2 linked regions of the Notamacropus eugenii genome follow. The protein of the gene in region 1 interacts with the protein of each later gene in a pairwise test. Links are inferred from orthologs where the notes say so. Each region holds a gene or a part of one and is shown on either strand. Other genes may lie near its edges.

Region 1 (7,753 bases):
ACTACTTCCTGTGGGTCAGTGGCTGCTAGGAGGTAATCTCCCGCTTCCCCCAGGTGCGGCTGGACTTCCTGAACCGGCAGTGGACTTCATCCCTGGCCCTTGGAGTCATTGCCTGCCCCCCTGAGCGGCTCAACTTCCCAGCTTCAGCTTGTGCCCTCAAACGGGCCGCCTGGCTACTTCGGGGCCAGGGTGTCTTCCATAATGGCCTCAAGGTGGGCAGGACATGTAAAGAAGGGGAACAGTCCTGTAGGCAAGGCAGATCCAGTGATTGGAGATAATTGGGATATCAGGAAAGGAAAAGGCCCTGAAAAATGGAATGGTATAGGAATTTGGGGAGTCATTGGAACAAATGGGGTAAAATACAAAGGTAATGTGAACCTAAAGAAGAGGTAATAGATAGACCCAGAGAATGGGCCCTGAGTGGGGAAAAGGTAAGAACAATTGTTGGGGGAGGGGATTGTAAGAAGGGAAGCCTGGGAATAAAAGGGTAAAAGTGTATAAAGAAGTGTATGTTTGTGGGGTGACCAGATGAGAATATTGGAGACTGGGTATTGATATTGGAGGGGTGGGGGTTTTTGAGAAGTGGCTCATTTCTCATGCTTCTGTCCCCCAGATCTGCGAGAAGTATGGGCCAAACCTGGACACGTGCCCAGAAGGCACGGTGCTGGGGCTGAGGTTGGACGGGTCTGGGGGGCTGCACCTCTATGTCAATGGTGTGGACCAGGGTGTGGCTGTGGCTGAGGTGCCCCAGCCTTGCCATGCCCTAGTGGACCTCTATGGCCAGTGTGAGCAGGTCAGCAGGGGGTGGTTGGTCAGGAACAGTGCTGGAAGGGGGGAGGAATCTAGGAAGTTAGAGGAGCATGGTGGTGGTGGTGATTTAAAAAGTTAGAATTGGGGGTGTAGTGAAGTTTTTATGGGGTCGATGGGACAAACTGGGGAGTTTAAAGGGAAAAGGAATTGAGGCTGAAGGGTTGGATGGGAGGGGAAGGGATGTACAGTGGGATTGAGAAAATCCTTTGTGGTAGGGGAGAGCAGCAGACCAAAGGTTAACCAACCCTTCTTCTTCTCCAGGTGACAATTATGAGCCTTGAGACAGGAGCAGCCAATGGGGAGGGAGCTGGAATCCAGGGGGACATGGAGAAGGCTGATGTGGTAGATGGTGAGGCTCAGGGAGAGCCTGTACTATACAATCCTGCTGGAGAGTACTTTGTTACTCTTAATTCTACTTCTGTTTTTGGACACCTGTCGTTGCCTTAATATGAAACTCTTTGCTTCTTCCCCAGAGAATCATTTCTTCCTGACTCCTCCCTTCCCCCCACCTCCCAAACGCAGTCACTTAAGAAGTTGAATGAGGCAGATGTCCCCAAAATATGCCCTGCTCCCATCTTCCCCCCAGTCCCCATTTTACTGTTTTCTTCTCTCCCCACACCTTCCCTACTCTGATTTGGCCCTACCTTTCAGGCATCAAAGAGAGTGTATGTTGGGCCCCACCTCCAGATGCCAGTCCTTTAAAGAGTTGTGAATACCATGCCCTCTGCTCTCGGTTCCAGGAGTTGCTGCTACTGCCAGGTGAGACTTGATCATTTTATCAACTCTCTTTTCTTGGGACACTAGAGTTGCTTTCCTCAAACCCCCAAATAGTTTGGGGAGAGGGGGAGGAGGGAATGAGCTCATTTCTGAAGGCTGACACAGATGAGATATAGAAATAAGGATTCTTTAGGAAATATAGCCCCTGAATTCAACCTTTCTCTTCTTTGCCAGAGGATTACTTTGTCCCACCCCCCAAGCGAAGCCTGTGCTACTGTGAGTCCTGTCGGAAACTTCGGGGCGATGAGGCACATCGTCGTCGGGGGGAGCCGCCACAAGAGTATGCCTTGCCCTTTGGCTGGTGCCGCTTTAACCTCAGGCATGTGGCTTAAGGTGGGAGGGGTGGAAGCCTGGGGCAGCCTAGGACTCGATGCCCAGGGAGGGCAGAAAGAGTTTTCTTTTATCCTTCATTTTTAGGTCTAGAAAATGTCACTTCAATAGGATATACAATTTCCTATTCAAGGAAGTGGCATAAATTTACGAGGTGTGCTTTTTTTTTTTGCGGCCCTCTCCCTAGTCCCCCTTTGCCTTCCTAATACCATTCTTTCCCACACCATTGGAAAAAAAAAGGGTCAATGGAGAAATTTTTTCTTTTTAAAAAACAAAAGGTCGGCATAGGGAAGCGCAGGACAAAGCTACAAGTTGAACATCTAAAAGAAAAAACAAGCTGTACTTACGTGCAGCTATTATTAGAAATGTGCAGCTTCTTGTACAATTCTCTTTTTGTTCTATTATATATGTGCAGATACCTATTTTATTTGATGTGTAGGTTCAGAAATTGTTTTTTAGCGTATGATAACAATTAGAAGTGACCTGGCCTGGGAGGTGGAAGACCTGGCTTTGAATTCTCTATAGATCTATACTCCTAGGATCCTGTTTCTTACCAGGCAGTTTTCAGCAAGACAGTTGGACAGAACAAGTCCAACTTTTCCTCTTTGAAAAGAACGGGCTTTGAGGGGTGATCAAGGTCAGCACAGACATACACATTTCTTTCCTGCAGAGTGAATCCACGATTGGAGACAGCAGCACTATCCAAGAAGTGGCATATGGCCTATCATGGGAGTAGTGTTGGGGCCGTTCGGAGGGTGCTAGACCGAGGAGAGCTGGGGGCAGGTAAGAAAGGATAAACAAAGTTGTATGATGATGCTGAGGGGAATGATTGGGGGAAATCAGGTCTTCTTCCATAAGGAGGAGGTATAGAGGGTGGAGAGACCCCTAACCATTACCCTTTCCTTTCAGGCAGTGCTTCAATCCTCAGCTGTAGGCCTTTAAAGGCAGAGCCAGGGTGTGGGTATGGAGAATCTGGTGAAAACTGTGTCCCTCCTCGTGAGGAGCAGCCCCCTCCTGTGCTGCTTTCCCCCTCCCTTCGGCATGCTGCTGGGATTGATGCCCTTGCTTCCAAAGTGCAGTGAGTGAAGGAGACTGGGGGGTGGGGGTGGGAACTGAAGTCGGGGTAACTAAGGAGTGGGGGACATTGCTGAAACCTAGAGTGGGGTCCCTAAGCCTGCTTTTTTTTAATGTCTTGTTTCCATTAGATTTTGGTTCCAATCTCCCTCTTCTCACTTTTCCCTTGCCTGTTGGTTTCCCCATGCCCTTCCTTCTTTCCCTCTATTCCGCAATTTTTCCACTATGTATTTGCACATTTCTACCCTTTGCTTCCTATGTTTTTTTTTTTTCTCATACTGTCCCAACAGGCCCTTCCTTCTTTCTTGTCTTTAGATTCCGGGATCCCAAATCTCAAAGGCCATACCAGGCCCAGGTGGCATTCCAGGTGTGTGTACGTCCTGGATCCTACACACCTGGCCCACCCTCTACAGCTCTTGGGGGCCCTCCTGACCCCCACTTTAGCCCTGCTGAGCTTGAGTGGGTGACCAAGGAAAAGGGTGCCACATTACTCTATGCCTTGCTGGTACGAGTGGAGTGAGAGGATGTGGGCCTATATTGCCAAGCACAATGACAGGGAAGGTTTATGGACTTTGGAAGCACCAACTTTTTATACATTCCCCCAACTGTTCCCAGGGAAGAGAGTGGACATGATGGGAGTTTCCCAGATTTCCAGGGGGCGTTGCATTTTTGTTTGGAGGAGTTCCCAGTTTGGGGGGGTAGTAGCTCTCCTGGGTTGGGGATTGCCCACAGATTTGGGGAAATTGTAATGGTCCAGAACACTTCTCTGTCTTGACCCCACTACTTCCCTCCCCTCTCCTCATGCACTGATTTGGGGAAACTCCCATCACTTAATTTATTTGCGTTGTTTCTGGTTAATGTGAATCCCCAGAGGGAGTTGCCTCCCTCCCCTCTCCGTTGAAACTTTTTCCATTGGGAAGGAATAGCCGGGGGAGAAGGGGCCACCCCTTGTACAGCTGTTACATACTCTGATTTCTTAAAGAACTGAAATAAACGTCCTGTCTCAGATACAACTTTGTCCCAGTCTCCACTTGCACTTATCTAGGGAAATCCTAGTCCAGGAGAGTTCCAAGGAGCGTCCCGCCTGAGCCTGGGCAAGTCACTTCCTGACTGCAAAGTGGGGATAAGGCCATGTGCTTCACGAGGCTGTAGTGAAGCTCCGTGAGCAGATGCCGGGGGTCAGGAAGGGGCGCTGTCCTCCGCGTCTTCTCTCTCAATGCTGTGTACGTCCTGGAGAGTCTTAGGAGGAGAGAACTGATGGGCCCCAACGCCCGTGCCGTCTGCCTCGGTCCCGAGGCTGCCACAGAACCTTCCGCTGCCCTTGTGCCTCAGGGTCGGCATTGCCGCTCACTTGGATCACTCTCTGCAGTTCAGCGTTTCCCCGAGCGTGCGTCCCGTGGCCTCCCAGGGCACGGCCTGGGAAAGCCCGGGCGGCGTTAGTGAGCATTAAAGGACGCTGAGGGATCCCGGTGCGCAAGCCCCGTCACCTGTAAAACACGGAACGGCTCGTCTGGGTCTCGGCCCCGGCCCCCGCCTTCCAGCAGCAGCCGGGCCTGGCCTTGGGGTTAGGCTTTCAGGGGGAAGGAGCCCTCCCAGCGCTGGGAGGAGACGCGGGAGGGTCACACGGTAGAAGATCGGCGCACCCCCCAAAACATCCCACTCCAGCGCCCGCTACGTTTACTCCACGCCTCCACGGTTTGTCTGGGCGCCGGCCAGGCGAGCCCGGAGCAGCCCGCGCAGCCGCCGTAGCTTCCCTTTTCCCCAGCCTCTTCCGCCCTTCCGTCCCCTCCCCCACTCAGGCAGTGTGCTAAGCTTCGCCATCGCTCATCGGTGGCCCCGGAAGTACTTACTCACGAGTCAGGAAATGACGAAGTCCGTGAGGCCTGTAGGAGGGCTGAAGTGAGAAGGAAGAGGAGGTAGGTAGGGAGGGGCTGGGGGCCTGGAGGTTTAGTCCGAGACTTTCGGACCCTGGTCGCGCCTGCGCAGAGCGGGGTCACCGCTGGTAGCTGCTGGACAAGTGGGGAGGGTGGGGAACCCAGTGTGGCACTCGACCCCAACCCCGCTGGCTGGAGCAGGTGATGGGCTCGAGGGGGTGGCGGGGCGCCTGACGGGAGAAGCACGTGACCTGCCCCATACGCCCCAGCGGTGTCGCCTCCGGAGTCCTGATGCTGTCTCCGGCCCCGCCCTCCAGCCCCGCCCGCCCTCGGAGCCCAGCGGACGGAGTCCGGGGCCAGGGCGGGGTGGGGGTCTGCCCTCCGTCCCAAGCACGGGGAGCTCAGCCTCCTTCTACCCCCACCCCCCCAGCCTTGCCTGGCTGCCGGGTCGCGGTGGAGCCTTCGGGGTGGTGGGGAGGGCTCTCAGGTTCCCCTTTCGCTGGTAGGATCCCCGCTTCCCCTCTGTGATCATGCTTATCCCCCAACCAACCAGATTTCCGCTGGGTGACCAGATTCATTTCTGGGACTGGACTGTCAGTGATCAAGTCTCAGGATCCGTACCCCAGTTTGTGTGACAGCACCCTGCGGGTCACCATGCCGGCCCTTCTGGAACGCCCCAAGCTCTCCAATGCCATGGCTAGGGCACTGCATCGACACATAATGATGGAGCGGGAGAGGAAGAGACAGGGTGAGTGAGGGTGCTAGCCAGCCCAGAGCTCCGAGGGAGCAGCAGCACGTGGCAATCCCGGACGAGGCCTTGCATGTTAGAGGTCTGAACTCCAGAGGGAGGGGAGGAGCAAGCGTCCGTCTAGCTCCTGTAAAGCTGCCTTGCGAGAAAGGTGCAGTTGTTTCCATTTCACAGTTACGGAAAACTCAGGCAAACAGGTTAAGTGACTTATCCAGGGTCACACAGCTCAGACGTGCCCGAGGCCAGATTTGAAAAACTACTGTCAGTTCTCATAGTTGTGGGGTCTTGAATTGAGGCGTCACTTTCCCTGCGTAGGCCTGTTTTCTGTGTTAAATATGAGGGGTTGATGTCTGAGATTCCCTTCTAGCTTTAAGGTTTTAACCCCATGCCCCTCCCCCAGAGGAAGAGGAGGTAGACAAGATGATGGAACAGAAAATGAAGGAGGAACAGGAGAGGAGGAAGAAAAAGGAAATGGAAGAAAGGATGTCACTGGAAGAGACCAAAGAACAGGTAAGCAATTTTTACACACACACTAATCTCTTTACTCACCCTGCTCCCCTTTCTGCTCTGGCCGACCTCCTTTTCACTGTCTCCATGATCCTCCTAGATCCTTAAACTGCAAGAGAAGCTCCTGGCCCTACAAGAGGAGAAGCACCAGCTCTTCCTGCAGCTCAAGAAAGTTTTACATGAGGAGGAGAAAAGGCGTCGTAAGGAGCAAAGGTGGGGACATGGAGGGCCTAGACTAAGGTATGGCTTTGTGAAATGGGAATGTGGTATCAGGAAGAGAATGAACCCAGGTTCATATCCTATGCCACCTATATAAATCTTAGGGAATCTCATTCTAATTTTTTAAATTTAATATCTTTGGAACTTTTTCTTCATCTGTAAAACTTACAAGGTTGCCTACAGCTTTGTCATCTTTGATCTTATTTGCCCTTCAGTGACTTGACAACACTTACATCTGCAGCATACCAACAAAGTCTGGCTGTACACACAGGGACACATCTTCTTAGTATGCAGGGTGAGGTGGACAAGGGGAAAGGGTGGGTATAGGTGGGGCAAGGATCATGGAGGTGGTTTGAGACCTCCTTAGAGCCTGCAGCCATCTGAACCCTACACCTCATCACAGGCAGTCCTGGAGGACACAGCAGACCAGGAACCCTTATGTCTGCTGATAGAGCCAAGCAGATGTTTGGACCCCAAGTGCTCACGGTAAGCAGACAGGGATCCCTGGCATTTTAATTACCAGTGGCATTTAATGTGCTGTGATGAAGGTAAAAATGTCAATGTAATCTCCCCTAATTATAAATTGTATTATGGAGTTATGTGATTTTAGAGGTAGATAAGGTGATGAACACATCTTACACTTCCTGCGTGACCCTTGAAAGTCACTTAGCTTCTCTGAACTTGTCTCATTTTTAAAACACATTATGTATGTAAATTGCTTTGCAACTTCTATATATGATTTCCAGCTATCAAATCAGACAACTTATCCTGACAGTGTGTTGTAAGCTTGTACCTAATATTTGAACACTTTCCAATCTTAACTCTCCACATCTTCTCCAGACCCGTCATTTTGTGGGGTCAACAGCTTTTCCAGGAACCTCAGAACATGGGCAATTCCAGGGTAGCCCAGGAGGGGCCTATGGGGCAGCCCAGCCACCACCTCACTATGGACCTACTCAGCCAGGCTATAGTCCCAGCCAACAGCTCAGAGGTGAGGGCAAACACCTAGAAACAGGGGTGGGGTGGGACAGGCAGTGAAGATTTTGGAGAATTTGGCTTGTGGATGGTCTTTATCCATGTCTGACTTCCTCCCCTCAGCCCCTTCAGCTTTTCCTGCTGTTCAGTACCTGTCCCAACCTCAGCCCCAGTCCTATGCAGTACATGGCCACTACCAGCCCACACAAACAGGTAATGTCACTTGTAGGTCCTTCTGTGCTGTTCCCTGACTTGTGTTTCTTCTTCCTGTACTCACCAATTGATCCCTCTTGTCCTAGGGTTCCTGCAACCTGGCAATGCCCTGTCCCTTCAAAAGCAGCTGGAACATGCTAACCAGCAATCTGGCTTCTCTGATTCGGTGAGACCCTACTTTTGGGGTAGTTTTATAGGAAAGTTTTGAGTAATCCTGAAGTGCTGA
Region 2 (7,878 bases), on another chromosome or scaffold:
TCTCCTCAATTTGCAGATGAGGAAACTTAAACAGGGAAGCTAAGAATCTGGCCAGTCCACACAGCTATTAAAATTGTCAGAGGCAGGATTTGAACTCAGGTCTTCCTGACTCCTACTATAAAAACAAAAGTTAACACTAATAAAAATAAAAACATTCAGTTGTAAGTTAATACTGAAGTAAAAGTAACGTGTTTCAAGTTGGGCTTATTTTTTGACTTAGATGTTTTTAAAGTCTGCTTTGTCAGCTTTAAGTTTCTTCAGGGTCAATGGAAAAGAGATAAAGAAGGTGCTCACCTCAAAGAGTCCCTTAATGTTTGTGAAAGATGAATTGGGAATAGTGAGTGACGTTTTAGCGGTTTATCTGAACAGCAGACATTTAATTATCAGACATCTACGAAATAAGAATAGTGATTTAAAATGCCACAAACTTAAGTACAAAGAACACTGGTTTAGGAGCAGTAGTCAGTCTTTCTAGTCCTAAATCCTAGTCCTTAATACCAGTGTAGCTTTGAGCAAGCTTAACTTGTACAGAAAACACCAGCAATGGAATAGGACCTGGATTCCAGTATAGACTCTCCAAGTTTACTAGACTCTGTATGACCCTAGGCTAGTCACCCCCACCTCTCTGGGCCTGAGTTTCTTTTTAATTTATAAAATTAGGTCAGAGTTAATACTATGTTCCTTCCAGTAATCATACAAACTGTAGATGCTCCTCCATAACCCTCCTCTAAGCTCTTCTGACTTTTCTTTCACTTATTCTAAAATGTCTCCCATTACTTCTAGATCGTGGCTGTTAAGTAGATCAAGTTCAAAATATGCCACAACAACTAATTAATCTTCCTGTCTGTGCTTTCACAGGTACTTGTTTGAAGGTTAATTTTAGTCTAAGAAATGAGTGAATAAACATGTTTACTGCATAAACATATGCTGCAAAATTATTTCCTGGTATTCTGGGCACAAAAAGAAAATACTGTAATGTTGAGTAAGTGTGTAACCATGTGCTTGCCACTTCCTTTGGGATTTTTGTATTTAGTCACAGGGCAAAAACAGTTACCAGCTTTTATCCACTTAAAAGTATTCAGGTTTCCTGGTTCCAGAACAATGAAGTATTTTACTGGGGAGGAGGGGGGGAGAGAGAAAGAGAAGGGGAGGGAACAGGAGGTAACAGGAGTATATGTTCCTTTCATTTTGTATTGTTCCAAAAATGAGTTGTAAAGGCAACTAGGTGTAAGAGTTTTCCTTTAAAAAAAGAAAAGGCTTTTTCATCTAAAAAATTAATATTCTCGATGTAAATGAAATTCCAGGATGCCAATTTTAAGGTGAGACCTTAGTAGCTGCCACTTAACAATATGATTGGTAATGAGAAAGAAAAGCTAACAAAGTAAGTGACCTGTCAATTTCAAACCCTAGTTACAGAGTAGCTAGAAAGCACTTCAATCTCATTGAGATTGTGTGAGGGAGAAAACAAAAAGGATACCAAAGCACTAACGCCATTGTGACTTAAATCGGGCCAATCCTAAACAGGGCCAATAAACCTACACAATAGGAAGTCAAAAGAAAATAATTAATAATAACATCTCTTAAAATATATATATGTATATATCCTAAAATATTTTAGGGAGATTCAATTTCACCATACGTTTATATATGGATATAGACAGAAATATATAATATAGAGGCAGACAGATGTAAATATGTAGATATATATCTTAAAATACTTTCGGTATATGCAATTTCTCTTTATAAATGGATATAGATATATGGATACAGACAGATATAGAGAATGTTTATGTCTCTGCATCTGCCTATATCCATATGGATATTTCTATGTAGATTAAAAATGTGGATATAGACAGATTTAAATATAGATATAGATTTACAATACATATATACACACCCTAAAATACTTTGGGTCTAGGCAATATGTTGCCTAGACCCAAAGTATTTCAGGATATCTCCATCCATTCATCCATCCAGCTAGCTAGCTATCTCCGGCTTTGGCTCTCCAATCTGTCTTTTAAAAAAAAACACACCCAAACGCGGCTCCTCCGGCAGGATACCACCATCTTCCTCCTTTTTGTGGCTCTCCCAAAGCTGAAAGGACCTTCCCATCGTGCAGGCCCGGGGAGCGAGGGGGTGGAGGAGCCCGTGCCGGTACTACCCCCACCCCCGGGCAGGTCCGGTACAGGGCTACACAAAGGAAGCGAAGCCCCGGGGCTGGGATGGGAGGGAAATCGCCGCAGACCCCGACCCGAGGAAAGGAGGGAGGGGGCGCCACCGTCCAGACCTGTTACTCCCCCGGCCCCCCCGCCCTTTGGATTGGAAATGTTAAACTGTCTTTTCCCAAAAAACCTCCTTTCCGGTTCTCTCCGTTTGAAAACGGGGCGCGTTAGGACGCACGGAGGTCCGGGGCTGGGGAGGGGGCTGCCCGGTGCTTTGTCTACGGGGCCGGGCCGGGCCGGTCCTCCCAAGCGGCTCCTCTCCTTCCCCGCGGGGGCGACCCCCGGCCCCGGCCCGGCCCGGCGCGTCCTTCTCCCCTCCGGCCCGGGCCTCGGGGCCTGCACGCGCCGGGGCCAGAGCCGGGGCCGGGGCTGGGGCCGGGCGGGGGGCGCACACTCACCTGGGTGGCTCCGGCGGCGGGCGGCTGCGGAGCGCGGCTCTGAAGGACGCGGGGAAGGGAGGGAGGGAGGCGGGCGGGCCCAGGCGGGCGGCGGCGGCTCCAGTCACTCCCGGCAATCGCTGTCCCAGCCCCTCCGTGCGTCAGGCAGGGGGCGGCGGCGGCGGCCCAGTGACCCACTTCACACCCCGCCCGCGCGCCCTCCCCTCCCCCACCGTGGCACGCGAGCACGCGCACCCCCCCCCCGCGCGCCCCCTCCACCACCCCACCCCCGCACTACGACCGGGACCCGAACCTGAACCCTGTGGTGTGCGAAGTACCCGGCCCCTCCCCCTTCCTCCTATGTGGCCCCAGAGATCACGGGGAGGGGCCATGGGGATTGGGGTGCTCCGAGGATCTGGGACCTAGTCCATTCCGGAGCCATCTCTGCTCCAAAACCCTACAAACTACCACGAATTCTAGTTCTTATCCTCTCCCCCACCTACTCCCCCACCTCCGACTTTGTGTGGGGACCTTGGACAAGTCACCTCTGATTCCTCATCTGTAAAAGAAAAAAAAGTGGGGAGGGGGCCTCCAAGGTCCTTTCCATCTGTAAATCTGGAAGAGGCTACTGTCCTTCTTCTTAAGCCCTCTGATTGTGGTCACTTGTTAGGGTCTCCTGAGCATGGCAGACACTTAGCGCCTGAGCTTCCCTGGGTTAAGACCAAGTACCCTGTGAGAGGAATAGGTAGCACTAATGAATGGGATTGTTAGGATTGGACAAAAAAGGTCTCTTCAATTCTTTCATTTCACAGATGAGGAAACAGACCCAGAGAGGGAGAGTAATTGGTAGTAGAGAATTTAAGGGAAAGAAATGAGGATGGAAGAGTCTTGATTTCAGTGCTTGTTTTCTTATTTGGGGGTATAGCCAAATCCTATGCCACCAATATATGATGGAATTCTCAAAAATCTATTGTAATTCCAGGCGGACAATCTTCTTACCCTGTTCCTAGCCCAGTGCTCATCGAACTGTTAATCATTTTGAATATAAATTGTTGATTACTCCAGTATACGAGCTACCTCTTCCCTCTTGCTTCCACTCCCATCATTACCGACCTTGTTCCATTTTCTTACATTAAAACCTATTACATTCCTTTTCTCCGTGAATAAGTTACTTTTATCCCATTCCATTAGATATTTTAATAAATTTAACCTGCCAATTTAATTTCCTTATCCTAGCCCATCAGTACTACTGATCTCCCAATCCCATTCCTCCAGCCTCTCCTTCCTGCTCCACCCCAAGCTACAAATATATCTAGTTTAACTCCCTGGACCTCACTTGAGGGATCTAAGCCTACTGAGGAAACTACCCCCTTCACCACAACCACCTCAGCCTTCAAGGATGACAATGCTGGCAAGCACCAAGAAATTTCTGTTCCCTGCTGGTTCCTTCCCTTGATTAGGATCTCCCAATATCTGTCCCTCAAAAATTTTCCCATCTTGCATCCCATTCAGACAACTTGAGTTGGAAGCCCAGTAGAAATGTTAAAACAAAACTCATTTTTGCCCCTAAAACCTACCCCCAAAATTACCTATTACAGCCAAAGGCAACAAACACCATCCTCTCAATCCCCCAGGTTTGCAACCTAGAATGTCATCCTAAACTCCTAGCTCTCACTCCCACATATCCAAACTGTTACCAGTCTTTCAATTTCACTTCTTGCATTATCTCTTTCTTCTCTCCCCTAACACAGAGACCACCATGGGGCAGGTTCTCATCACCTCATGTCTGGACTATTACAATAGCCTGTTGGTGGGTCTGTCTCCCTCAACCCTCTCCCCCACTGTAATCCATCCTATATTCAACCACCAAAGTAATTTCCTAGCGCACATGTTTGACCATGTCACACCTCTCCCCCACTCAATAAACTCCTGTGACTCCCAATCACCCAGGATCTAATACAAAATCCTCTGGTGTTCAGACCTTCATAACCTAGCCCCTTTCAGCCTTTCTAGTCTTCTTATACTTTAGTCCTTTCCCCAATTCCACCCACTGACAATGACACCCTTGCTGATCCATGCACAAGACAATTCATCTCTCAGCTCCCCAATTAGATTGTGAGCTCCTTGAAGGCATTTTTCCCCTTTTTTTTATACCCCCAGCACTTAGTAAAGTGCACATAGTAGGTGCTTAATACATGTTGATTGATTCCTGCACATTTAGTTATTTATTTTGAGCTCAGCTAGGCCTCCAGGAAGAGAGGATTTTAGTTATGCAAGAAATAAATATGACTGAAGAGGGTTGTCAGAATCAATGGGGAAATGTGGTGTGTAAAGAAGAGAATGGTTTTCACAAGGCCTTGGAACCAGGTTTATGAGGCCTGCACAGCCACTATTCCTCCTTCCTCTGACCTGGATTCCCTGGGCAATTTGTGAACCTTGTACATGACCAGTAGTGCCTGAAATGACTTCCCTTCTTTTCTGTCTATTTGATATTCTACTTAGCATTCAAGCTGGTGGCACGGCCTCCAGGAAACCTACTTGACCTAACCAGTCAAGGTTCTGTAGCACTTTGCTCTCATCGTGTTTCATTTAATGTTACTGTTATTTGTATATGATTCCTCTCATTCTATTTGACTGTGACCTATAAGAGACTAAGCATAGGGGTCCTATTCATCTTTGTGTTCCCCACACTAGCCTAGTACAGTATTCTATACCAGTGATGTCAAAACCAAATAGAGACATGTTAACTTAGAAAATGACAAAGTAACATTATCTATGTTGTATTTTTATTTACTTTGTTAAAAATTTCCCAATTACATTTTTGTTTTATATAAATTTTTAATTTTCTAAAGTTTTTTTAAAATTTATTTTATTTTTAACATGGAGTAAAATAAGCACTTCCATAACATAGTAAAATATAAAAAGATGATTGCACATGAAACTACAAATTCACTATGCACAACTTGCTATTGCTTTCAAATATACAAGATTATCATGTAAACATGACTAAGGTGAAAATGTATTTAACAGGAATGTATGTGTAGAACCTATATAAGACTGCATGCCATCTGGGGAGGGAGCGGAGAGGGAGGGGGTAAGGAGGGGAAGAGAGGGGAAAAAATCTAAGATAAATGGAAGTGATTGTAGAAAACTGAAAACAAAATTAAATAAAAAATAAAATATCAAAAAAAAAGATTATCACATAAATTTCTTTTTTTTCCTTTTTTCTTCCGTCTCCCCCAGATGGCTACTACTAGACACAAATAGGTGTGTGTGTATGTGCGTGCCTGTGTACATACATACATATACACATATAAAACATTCCATTACATTTTAATCTGGGTCTGGCCTCATTCTGGAAGTTTGTAGCCACTTTTAATAAATACCAGTCAAAAATTCAGCAACACAATATACCAATGTGCACTTTAGCACTCAATTTTATAGTATGACACGCAAGATCTTCTATATCCCAATTGTTAACTAACCTTGAGTAAATTGGAAACCATTTTAAATCTCAAACTCTCATTCTCCTCTATCTATCATTGTACTCAAAAACCCCAAAGGGCAGATTTTGAGGTAGTGGTAACTGATAACATCTGGATTTCCCAGTCACCAATCCTGGAACCCCCTCAAAGAAGGGAACAACTTCAATACATGTCAGAGATGGGATTTTCCTGTCCCGGAAAGTCATCTAGAGAAATGGCACACTATTCATCAGCCCAAACTAGATGCAGATTTGGAATCCTGCATCATCGCACCCCTATCTCCACTTGGCTGTAAAGAACACCTAATAAATCTTTGCAGGACACATGTTTGTGAGTGGGTTTCCTCCTTTCTCACTTCTCTAGTGCAGATTCTTTTGTTGTCATTCAGTCACTTTTCAGTCATGTCCAATTCTCTGTGGGAAATCCCATTTGGGATTTCCTTGGCAAAGATACTGGAGTGGTTTGCTGTTTTCTTCTCCAGCTCATTTTACAGATGAGGAAACTGAGGCAAAGAGGGTTAAATGAATTTGCCCAAGGTCACACAGCTAGTAAGTGTCTGAGGCCAGATTTGAAATCAGGAAGATAGATCTTCCTGACTCCAAGGTCAACACTCTATCACTGTGCCACCTAGCTGCCCCAATGCAGATTCTAGATTGAATAACTAAAATAGCAGGAAAAAATAAACAAATATCCTTTCCTATTTTAAATTCCCTTGATTTCACAAAGTCTTCGTTCTAGTTGCTTCAGTGAGTAACCCTAATTGAAGGACCTTAGTTCAAACCCTGAGCTCTGTTACTTACTGCCATTATATGACATTGGACAAATACCATCACTTCTCTTATCCTCAAGTTCCTTACCTGTAAATAAGACTTTGAACTATACGAAATCGAAGGTCTTTTCTAGCTATAAATCTATGAACTGTGACTCCCCTATTCTAATTCAGGAGGATGTTTAATATAATAACATTTATGCAGTGTTTTCCATGATCTCATTTGATCTTCTGAACAACTCTATGAAGTTTATATTATTATTCTCTGAAAAAGAGCAGCTCCAGAAAGTTGAAGGGGAGGGAGAGAGAGTGAGAGTGGGAAATGAATGTCTGGGAAAGGACTCAGGAAGATCTATAAGATAGGACAGTCTGGCTAGGCTAGAGAGAAGGTAGAACCAAGATAGATTAAAAACGAGTTTCAGTATACTTGTGAGCAGGACAGCTATTCATGGCCAGGCTTCTGTTAACATCATCATTTTTTCCCTTTTTCATTTTAGCCCTAAGTATGTTTTCCTTTTACTGTGCTGTAATAAACTCTTTTAAAAGAAAAGCCTTTTATGGTTGCGAGCTCTTTGCAAGGGGGAAGGGGAATGGAACAAAAAAAACAAACCAAACAAAGAAGTAATGCCTTTGTGGGGGGGGGGGAGTAGAAGAGGGGGAAGGAACTAAAGAAATATAAAGAGGAGATGTTATTAGCTCTGATCCTGAAAGAGGCACCTGTGAACACAGATCTGGGCTTGTTGATGGAAAAATAAATAAAGGGATTATGGTGTTCATTCCATTGTGCCACACATTTAATGTTCCCCTCTGAACTACCTAACATTCTTTGTTTATCATAATAAAACTTTTGTACTACCTGACATTCTTTTCTTATCATTATCCTCAGAATAGTGGCATAACTGAATATTTTACATAACACACTGATACCCTCATCCACTAAGTTCAAAACAGATCATCCAGTTCCTTAAATAAAGAATACCTCTGTTATGGCAGAACACTGAACTGGGAGGCAGAAGACTTGTATT

The links.
Region 2: the proteins of GPS2 (region 1) and SESTD1 interact in binary tests that used the Homo sapiens proteins (3 or more experiments, as listed by UniProt). The two-hybrid records come from large-scale screens. The link is inferred for Notamacropus eugenii from reciprocal best matches to the Homo sapiens genes GPS2 and SESTD1.

What each region holds. Positions count from the first base shown.
Region 1 is NC_092873.1:78,711,473-78,719,225, forward strand, and holds the start of GPS2 (G protein pathway suppressor 2), read left to right. Parts: upstream 1-4,475; 5' UTR 4,476-4,907; exon of another isoform or gene 4,908-5,066; intron 5,067-5,418; 5' UTR 5,419-5,519; coding exon 5,520-5,613; intron 5,614-6,013; coding exon 6,014-6,123; intron 6,124-6,220; coding exon 6,221-6,360; intron 6,361-6,554; coding exon 6,555-6,634; intron 6,635-6,742; coding exon 6,743-6,825; intron 6,826-7,179; coding exon 7,180-7,330; intron 7,331-7,437; coding exon 7,438-7,527; intron 7,528-7,613; coding exon 7,614-7,693; intron 7,694-7,753. Other genes in the region: NEURL4 (neuralized-like protein 4), read left to right, coding at 54-212, 614-793, 1,072-1,159, 1,462-1,569, 1,762-1,906, 2,588-2,700, 2,827-2,995, 3,307-3,511. UniProt on the Homo sapiens protein: Key regulator of inflammation, lipid metabolism and mitochondrion homeostasis that acts by inhibiting the activity of the ubiquitin-conjugating enzyme UBE2N/Ubc13, thereby inhibiting 'Lys-63'-linked ubiquitination.
Region 2 is NC_092876.1:242,524,668-242,532,545, forward strand, and holds the start of SESTD1 (SEC14 domain and spectrin repeat-containing protein 1), read right to left. Parts: upstream 3,249-7,878; 5' UTR 2,621-3,248; intron 1,536-2,620; exon of another isoform or gene 1,478-1,535; intron 1-1,477. UniProt on the Homo sapiens protein: May act as the primary docking protein directing membrane turnover and assembly of the transient receptor potential channels TRPC4 and TRPC5.